2 linked regions of the Daphnia pulex genome follow. The protein of the gene in region 2 interacts with the protein of the main gene of each other region in a pairwise test. Links are inferred from orthologs where the notes say so. Each region holds a gene or a part of one and is shown on either strand. Other genes may lie near its edges.

Region 1 (4,111 bases), on a different chromosome or scaffold from region 2:
TTGACGCTAGCTCCCAGCCTGTTGTAGCATTAAAAGGAGTGAAACTTTCTGATTTTGGAGGTCGTTCTCTAGGAACAGTCTCGTCTACTGTCGTGCAGGTAAAATCAAATGTAAGACTTTCTATTTCTCTACTATTCTACAGCGCATATTTTTAATAGATCAATCCTGACATGAATGAAGCTCACAAACTAAGAGGGTGGTACGATAACGGTGGCTCATCATCGGCCGCTTCTAGCATTTCGGCGAGTCGTGGCGCTGGCACTGGTGGTAGTGGTGGGTCGTATAAGACTTTCGCTGAAGCAAAATTCGAAAACCTGGGAAAAGATAAACCTGATTTCTACAGTGTTAAGGCTATGGTTGCTATGATCAACAAAGAAAGAGCGTTGTACATGGCTTGTCCCAGTGATGAATGCAACAAAAAGGTAAACATAAATATATAATAAAACAACTCATTTTTGACAATATTTGCGTTTCCCGCAGGTCATCGATCAAAACAATGGCCTCTATCGATGTGAGAAATGCCAGCGCGAATTCCAGGAATTCAAATGGCGCATGATGCTTTCGGTATGACAAAGATATTTTATGAAATCTATTTCTCTCAAAACAGCACTCGAAATTTGTTATAGGTCAATATCGCGGATGCCACGGACCAGCAATGGGTAACCTGCTTCCAAGAAACCGCTGAAACTCTTCTTGGTAATTTTGTTTTCGAACTAATGTTACGTTTAGCATATAATATTTATTTATTTGATTATAAATTTTAGGGAAATCCGCAGACGAGGTCGGTAGATTGAAGGATTCGGATAATAACGAATTTCAGAAAATTTTCGAAGAAGCTACTTTTAAGTGGTATGTCTTCCGCCTGAGAGTGAAAATGGAGACGTACAATGTAAGTCTATGAGCATTATGAATTTCGATCTTGTTATCTGTTGACGCTTTTACCTTTTCTTTAGGATGAAAGCCGCCTCAAAACAAATGTCTATGAAGTGAAGGAAATCAACTATAAAGAGCACAACGAGCGATTGATTCGAGAAATGAAAGAAATGGCTGCATCAGAATGAATGGATTTTCCCTTGCTCCTTATCTATTAAACTTATAAAAAACCTTCATTTTCGGATTATACAGGAACAATTCTTTATGAATTCCTGTTCTTGTGAATCAAATCGAGATCCCGGAAAAACCGTGTGTGTAACATGATAATAAATGATTTGCAAAATAAACATGGATATTACAAAAAATAATTTTTCAGACAACTGCAAATGTATTGTTTTTCGCAGCTCATGTGCAATGAAATATTTCAACCATCAAGAGAGGCAAAGATAGAAATGAAAATAAATGAAGATCACAGTGCAGCTCTCACTGCTCTACAATGAAGTGAAGAGGGAAAGAGGGGGGACCAGTTCAAAATTTTAACTCTGCCTCTTCTCAAGTGTTTATGATGAAAACAGAAAACATTTAATCACTTGGTCTCTTCTCACTGTTTTTTTTTGTAAACTCTTCTGCATTCTTCATGAATTTCTTTTTGTCTTTGGAATACTCTTCAGCAAGATCAGCCCTAAGTGGATGTTCAGGCTCTGGATCATTAACCAAGGCAACCAGCGCTTGTATCACTTGATCAGTTTTGGTGGCAGGCTTCCAGTTTTCAGCACTTATTATGGGCAAACAGACCTGAAAGAAATAAACACACAATAATAAGTATGGCAAAAATTCCAAAAGGCAAATGTTTTTAAGACCTAACAGAAATTGCCAGACAAATAAGATATTTACAAGGTTAACATTGAAATTTTTACCTGTCCCTTTTCATCAATATTTGGATGATAGATTTTTGTCTTGAACGCAATTTTTGGTGGTTTGAATGGATACTCAGCAGGGAAATTTATTTCAATCCGAAAAGCTCCTTTATTGTAGGGAGCATTTTCCTATGAAAAATATATGATGGCTTGTAACCAAGGTAATTCAATCAATATTCATCTAAAAAATTCAGACTCACAGGAACAATAAGTCCATGCCAAGTCAAAATGTTTTGTTCATCAACTTGAATGTCGCGAAAAGATTTCAACCCAGACTTCTTGATGTCTTCCAATTCCTTTGACCACACAGAGAATACATTAAATGTTTATACAGATGAATTATTATCACTACAGATTATGAATTTGTGATGCAATATAGATAACTTTCAACTCACCTTGTGAAGTCTTCTAGTTGCCGCCATTTCAATTTAATCAATCAATCAATTACTGAAATATTACTCTACTTAGCGATTTATTGAAATTATTTACTACTAATATCTGAAGTTACTTCCACAAAAGAGCTGCTGTGAACGGCTGCTTGCCTGCTTGCAAACTTGTGTTGGCCTCGTAGATTTCAAGGCCATACACAAAGCACGTAAGTTAAAGTACCGCATACAGAGCCATCTTAAGTGAAAAAATGTTTCCTGAAATACGATTTTTTCAAAATTGGAATAACCAAACAAAAGCGCATGCGCGTAATATTTTGCTGTGCACAGTTCAGACTTCAGAGTAAGGTAAAAAAAAATCTTGTCTTTCTGTCATTTAAATAAAGAGCCGTAATAACAACATCAAATAAAGAGATAAAAATGCGAAAAATTAATCTTTTGGCAAAAATTCGGAAGCACTATTTGCAACATAAATTTTGCAATACGCGAAGTACATTTGTTTTTATATTTAGGTCACAAATTAAAGCTGCTGTTTGTCTGCCTGATCTAGTCCAAGAGCTTTTTTTTATTTGATTACTTATTGTGTACGTAGGTTATCCTATGGTGGTGACTAGTCATTTAGTCGATCTTCGAAAATAACGATAAGCGAATTCATGATATACAGTTCAACCCGCAATCATACGCATATAAGGGAATCATTGTCGTTTCGGAAACGGCGGTGTTTCTTAACTTGAAATCTATAATTTTGTGGCTGAACTATTAACAGATGTGGCTAAAGTGAAATAAAGTGGCAAGAGTCGTAGTTATTGCGGGAAGAAAAACAAATGTCACGTCCGTATGTGTACGTGTCACAAATGTGATGAGGTTTGACTTTTTGGAAACTAAAAATCTGGGTGAACGAAGATACGGTATCTTTCTTATTGTGCTAGCGGTGCTAGATTCTGTGAAATTTTACGGGATTCTTAAGAGATTCCGAATCAAAGTTTCACCCAAATTTCGCTACTAGGGGCATCACTGGAATGTGCGAAGATTTAGAATTTTTCAGATTCTACGAGATGCTACAAGATCCTGAATCAAAGGTTCGCCAAATTTGGCTAGGGCCTAGGGGTGCCAATAAAAAAATGCGGTTTGCGCCTGCTAACGGTGAGAAAAAGGTAAATTTTGTTAAATTCTAGAGATTATGTGAAATTCTCCCAGATTTCGAAGATTCTGAGAGTTGCCAATCTGGCAATCGCTCGGGGCCTCGGCCGAATTTAAAATGCATTCTAAAAATCAAAATTCATCGTGCAAAAAATTTAAATTAATTTATTCTTATTTAGATAAGACTAAGCACGTTTAAAAAGTGTTGCCTTCGGTATTTTCAATAAAATTAATTCGGGATTTTTGTAGTATTTACATTTTGTGCCTTTGGGCTTTGGACTCATCATCGTCTGTTCAGGTCTGTCAAAGAACAGCCGGCAATCCAAACGACAACATTTCGAATTAAATTGCATAAAATTGTTTTTCTAGGAAATAAAATAAAAAATAACGTAGTAAGTAATATTTTTATAAATCTCTATTTCACAAGTGACGTGGCTGCAATTGAATAAAATATATTTTTAAGAGAACAAATTATAATCTGGCATTGCAGCCGCAATGATCGACAACGTAAAAAAATCGATTTATATTATAGCGAGAAAAACTAAGAAAAGAAAAACCCGGTGTGTCGTCTTTTCACGATACTTTCTATCCTATCAACGGTAATTTACGAGGTATTTTATCATTACTGGATTATGTGTCGCAGCGTGATCGAGTCATTGTCATAACTAGACTCTTGTGTCGAATTCAATTACATCTAAAGATTGAGGTGTGAAGCAAAACAAGAAAGGCTTATGCTGTCGACTCCTTCACATGTGCGTTGGCCATCAACGACCTTGCTCGTCCTCCAGATAGTGT
Region 2 (5,376 bases):
CCTCCAATCCGTCATCAATCTAAATCCAAGCCAATTCAATCCGGTTAATGAAATCAAAAAAGGGAAAAATCATTTCGAATTGGAAATGACTCACCGCAAGTATTCTTCCTTGTTTTCCTCGTTGACGCGAACGTTATCGCCGCCGGGCTTCAATTCGTGGTGAGTCAACTGTCCGAGGACCTCGAAATCGGCCGAAAAGTAAAGCTCCAATCCGCACTCTTCCAGATTGTTGTCCTTGACCCACAGGAGCGAATTGTAGAATTCCGGATCCACCGACTCGATGTCTTTGGTCGTCAGCTTCTTGTTCAGCATGCGCTTGTAGAACGGCAGCGTGAAAGCCGAGTAGATGAATCGTCCGTGATACAAAGCCTGTTGTCGTGTGCAAGGACACAAATAAAAAAACAAACAAAAAGAAAGGATCGTGAATGTCATTCCGGCCTCGATCGACCCAAATTCTGTAAAGCCGAAAGAGATTTGTCGGCCATCATCCATACCATGGCGATGAATCGACCGATAAACTTGAAATAGTGCAGGTGATCGGGATTGACGTGGGACGCCGGATTGATCTGAAGGCTGTAGTTATTCTTGTTGGCGTATTCAAAGAGGCAGTACATGGGATTTAGCACTTCGTGTGACAGCAAGAGAAACCATTCCCTGTCAAAACAAAAAAAAAATGAATAGAAAAATCAGTTTCCTCTTCAGTGTCCAATTAGCGCACACTTCAAGGGACGCAAAGGGGGTATTTAATTAATAATAATTTTACCTAGCCACTCCTCCGTAATCAAGGCCCTCCTCGCCGCGGAAAATGACGTACAGCCGCCTGCGGAGCTCGTAGGCGGGCAAGCGCATAATCTGATGGTGCGAATCTTCAAAGAGCGTCGACCGGTTGAGAGTGATCTTGATGTGTGATGGTAAGGCATTACTCTGACACAGATAGCGGAATTGAGATAGCTTCCAGCGGAATGAGCGCTCGTAAGCGATGGGAACGCCATAGGCACCTTTCGGACTGCGTCCAGCGCAATGAGGAAAAAAAAAACACAAGCAATTAACACACACAAAGCAATAAAAGCACTTTCAAGTAGCGGGCGAGCTGGATAGAACACGTTGTGGCAGTAATGATGGACAACATAATCATACCCTTTAGTTGCGCCTGGTCTAGGATCTTGGAAGGTGGTCGTCCGGGTATTGTGATCCACAAAATAATGAACACCATCGTCCGTGATTCGCATTTCCCAGCCGGGAGGCAAAGGATCTTCTTGGTTCATCCTGAAATGAATCAGAGAAAGAAAGAAATGAGATATAGATTGATTGAGGGATTTCGATGAATTGACAAGTGAGAGACACACCCCTGGGTTCTCGGATCCTCCCACTGTGTGGTGCGATTCTTGTGGTTGACAAAGTAGACCCTGCCATTAGGCTCGACACGTTTCTCCCAGCCTTCTGGCAAAGGTCCAAGCGGATCGCTCTCTTCCGTACCCGTCACCACCGCCGTTCCGGTGCTGACTCCTCCACCCTAGTTAGGAAAAAAACAACAACAACATCAATGCAAGTGACGTCACGATTAGCTCAATGATCAATGAATCAACTACCTGTGGAAATAGGAATCTCTGGCTGCACTGTTGAACAACATGCGCTCGCTGGCCTTGCCACTGTTCGTAATGTTGCAGACGTTCAACATTCGGTCTTTGCCATGTCGTCCTGGTTAATTTACAAATACGAATTAATTTAATTGAAAAAGTTGAAACCATTAAATAAACTTACGATCGAGTGTTGTGATCCACGTAGTAGGCTCGACCACGAGGGTCTCTTCTCATCTCCCATCCGGCCGGAAGAGGCTGCGGGCGCTCCCACGTCGTACTCCGCGTGTTATGATCGACGTAGTAGCGCCGGTTGTATTTATCGAAACGGACTTCCCATCTAATGAAGACAAAATAACGTCAGTTACATTTCAAATGGATGTGATACAACAACAGCATCAACTCACCCTGGCGGAAGAGGTTCTTCGGGGCCAGGTGGAGCAGCCGGAGGTGCTGTCGTGGCTGGGGTAGTTTCAGTCCTCGGAGCCGGTGCTGCCACTGTCCCGTTGGGAGTCCTGGACGGCGTCTGCTGCGGTGTTCCGTTGGGTGTCCTGGATGGAACACCAGTTACTACTGCTGGAATGGGGGCGGCTTCAACATCATTCGATCGGGTACGAGGACGAGCTCCGCCACCATTTTCGCCCGTGGTCAAATTCGTGACAGGAGCTACTGCTGCACCGTTCGTCCGGATCTCAGCGGTTGAGCTGGATTCACCTGTTTCTCCGTTCACTCTGATGATTAAAAAAATGGGAGCACACAGATTTATAATGATGAATCGCTCGCTTCCATTTGAACGCTGCACATTATTACCTCGTTGCGCTTCGACTACTGCCTGTCAACAATTTTGGATCTACCCTCATTCCGTCCATCACAATAAAAATTTCTCCAATCTTCACTTTAGAGCTGCGACCGTTAGCTGCTTCTGTCGTTGATGCAATGCTAGTATTCTTTATTTCTCCCTATTGATGCCAGAAATATTGAATAATTTTGTTTGTTTTGTGTTTTTCTAGTAATCAAGTATGAGGCTTACCTTAACATCCAGAACAAGACTGGTTTTATCAAATTTCCCTTGTTCTCGTACTAGTTGTTTTTGGATATCTATTCTGCCTTCTCCTAGAACCAAATCTCGCTTGAAAGTTGAATGACTGTAGAGCCTCAGTAGACATTTTGAATTGATTTTCACAAGACTAGAAAAATAAATAAGATAAGACACTTGCAAATGTGCTGAATCATAGCAACTGTACATACACAGTAAAGGATTCACAAGACCAAGTGGGATCATGTGTGTTCTTCACAGCCTCAGTTTTCCAAACCACTTTCCCATCAACCAAGATTTCAACATATGGTGAAGGCTTTTTTGTTATGCAAACTGGGTCAACAGTGGCCTTTAGAACTATATTGCATAAATCAGATTAGAACTTTTCCAATGTAAAGATTAAATATCAATTGCATTGAACCTGAGAGATTTAGTTGATGAAAGTGGGAGTCATTGTTGTTCCTAGAGCTTGCGCTATTGGAACTGGTTACAACAGCTGCAACAGTTTCAGCCATTTCATGGAGGTCAGACCTTGGACGTTGCTGTAGTTCAGAACTACACCAGATACTAAACTGATCTGGTGTTTTCAATACTATCAAAGCCCATAATCAGAACAGGAACCTGTAAAAAATTTAAGAGATAAGATGAGTACTGATTTTTGACGTCATCACTGATAAAGATTTTGCTATGCAAACCACTAACCTGCATCCACACTGCTACATGGAACATGAATGATGTTTCGGTGTTGAAATTAATTTATAATCTTTATAACAACCAGGCTTTAGGACTTTAGAAAAATGTCACTGTGAAGTGAAAACAGCAAAAAAATACACCTACAGGGCTCAGTTGAGTATTAGCGCGAAAGTAAAATTATCTCTTTAAAATGTCAATAAACCGAAATACAAGCAGGCAGTATAAAGATTAGAAACTCTGGTGGTATTTCCCGTTGAACGAGATAAAATTATAGCTGCAATTATAGCAAACACACAAAACACAAGTACAAGACTACAAGTCTTTGCAATAAGTCACCATTTTTTCTTGGCTTAAAACACTGTTGCCAATTTCTTCTCTTAGTGTTTTCTTCAAAGTTGTAAATATTGCCAACAGATGGATTGTATTTTTGTCTGCTAGAAAGAAAAAAAAAATAACAACAGTGCAAAATTTGCCAAAAGTCTACGATGGTCTTTGAATGTCAAAAATCACCGTACAAGAAAGAGGTTCAATAAATTTTCCTTTTTGGTATTTGTATTTTCTTATCCTATTAATGATCAGTATGGTGTTTCGTAGTTTACGAGCAAAGTCGTCTCTTGTTCGCCGTGTCAGATCGAGAGGCTCGTCCAGGGGAAAAAGGAGAAAGTACAAGCATTTGAAGTCTTATTGGAAGATACCGTTTTTTTTCCTGAAGGTGGAGGCCAGGTAATTTTTACGTTAAATTACACATCCTCATATAGAATTGGTTTTAAAAATTCAAATGTCAAAAGCCTGATGACAGAGGCTTCTTGAACGGAATCCCTGTCTTTCAAGTCAAAAGAAGAGGGAAGGATGCCATCCATTTTTTACAAGACAGCCTGGATGTTGGGACTCTAGCTACAGGTGTCATTGATTGGGAGAGAAGGTGGGATCATATGCAGCAACACTCTGGGCAGCATCTAATCACTGCAATTGCTGATGCTTCATTTGGTTTCAAAACAACATCTTGGTGGCTTGGGGAATCTGTTTCCCATATTGAATTAGGTAAATTTTTCCTTCTTAACTTTGTGTTCAGAATTTTCTGTAGCATCATTGATTGACACTTAATATTAAATTACAAGATACTGTAAATCTGACTGATGCCCAACTAAAAACCATTGAAAGCCAAGTGAATGAGAAAATCAGGGAAGCTGTCTCTGTGGAAGTAAAAGTATACGAAGGAGATGCGATACCCGACCAAGTAAGAATTTTACTTTAATTGACATTAAAGTTAAATTAAAGAAAACCATATTGGGTTCGTAGGTCCGTTCTAGAGGTCTTCCCGATGACCACGTTGGTCCTGTTCGCGTCGTAACTATTTTAGGTGTAGACAGCAACATGTGTTGTGGAACTCACGTTTCCAACCTTAGTCATTTACAGGTATTGTACGCAGTTTACTACCCCCAATAGTACAAGCAATAATTAACCATCGATTAAAATACTTCATTTAGTTCATAAAGCTGCTTTATGCTGAAAAGGGTAAAAAAAATAAGACCAACCTCTTCTTTATAAGTGGAAATCGAGTGCTAGATTACATCAATCGTTCACTTGACAGGGAGCGCCAGTTGACTAAAATTCTGAAGTATGAAATGCTTAAAATAATTGTTGAAATGACAAGTGATTAACTCATTTGCTCGTTTCAGAAACGGACCTGAAGATCATGTCGATTTAGCTAATAAATTACAAGCCTCAGTAAAGTTATCACAAAAGGTAAAACAACTTTTGAACTTCTCCGTATCCTAATCGACTGTAGATTAATTTAAAAATTTTCTTTTCTTTTAAGACTTTGCAAACTTTGATGAAAGAATTAGCTGTCAATCAGGCAGAGAAAATTAAAACCGAGAAACCGAAATTTTCGATTGTTCACCGCAAAGACGGCGATGCCGATTATGCAAGTGCTCTAATTTCAGAACTGGCTTCTGAGGTATCTAGATTATTAGTTTTTAATTGTCCTTATTTAACATTAAAATTTTCTTTTTAATATTCTCTCTTTAGGACATCACATTACTTATTACTGTGGGAGAAGATAACAAC

Evidence for each region.
Region 1: the proteins of E3 ubiquitin-protein ligase Su(dx)-like (region 2) and ubiquitin-conjugating enzyme E2 L3 interact in binary tests that used the Caenorhabditis elegans proteins (3 or more experiments, as listed by UniProt). The link is inferred for Daphnia pulex from reciprocal best matches to the Caenorhabditis elegans genes wwp-1 and ubc-18.

What each region holds. Positions count from the first base shown.
Region 1 is NC_060017.1:3,016,550-3,020,660, reverse strand, and holds ubiquitin-conjugating enzyme E2 L3, read right to left. Parts: upstream 2,388-4,111; 5' UTR 2,213-2,387; coding exon 2,186-2,212; intron 2,087-2,185; coding exon 1,991-2,086; intron 1,920-1,990; coding exon 1,791-1,919; intron 1,669-1,790; coding exon 1,456-1,668; 3' UTR 1,239-1,455; downstream 1-1,238. Other genes in the region: replication protein A 70 kDa DNA-binding subunit-like, read left to right, coding at 1-98, 159-422, 481-564, 627-696, 765-889, 954-1,061. UniProt on the Caenorhabditis elegans protein: Ubiquitin-conjugating enzyme E2. Accepts ubiquitin from the E1 complex and catalyzes its covalent attachment to other proteins. Required for diet restriction-mediated lifespan extension, probably acting as part of a complex with ubiquitin-protein ligase wwp-1.
Region 2 is NC_060026.1:2,733,648-2,739,023, reverse strand, and holds the start of E3 ubiquitin-protein ligase Su(dx)-like, read right to left. Parts: upstream 3,668-5,376; 5' UTR 3,316-3,667; intron 3,235-3,315; 5' UTR 3,129-3,234; coding exon 3,035-3,128; intron 2,971-3,034; coding exon 2,826-2,970; intron 2,765-2,825; coding exon 2,608-2,764; intron 2,537-2,607; coding exon 2,388-2,536; intron 2,309-2,387; coding exon 1,985-2,308; intron 1,918-1,984; coding exon 1,762-1,917; intron 1,699-1,761; coding exon 1,590-1,698; intron 1,514-1,589; coding exon 1,347-1,513; intron 1,267-1,346; coding exon 1,138-1,266; intron 1,007-1,137; coding exon 764-1,006; intron 655-763; coding exon 495-654; intron 370-494; coding exon 95-369; intron 20-94; coding exon 1-19. Other genes in the region: alanyl-tRNA editing protein Aarsd1-B-like, read left to right, coding at 3,792-3,830, 3,901-4,029, 4,095-4,347, 4,425-4,543, 4,606-4,722, 4,794-4,924, 4,986-5,052, 5,126-5,266 and 1 more. UniProt on the Caenorhabditis elegans protein: E3 ubiquitin-protein ligase which accepts ubiquitin from an E2 ubiquitin-conjugating enzyme in the form of a thioester and then directly transfers the ubiquitin to targeted substrates. Ubiquitinates klf-1.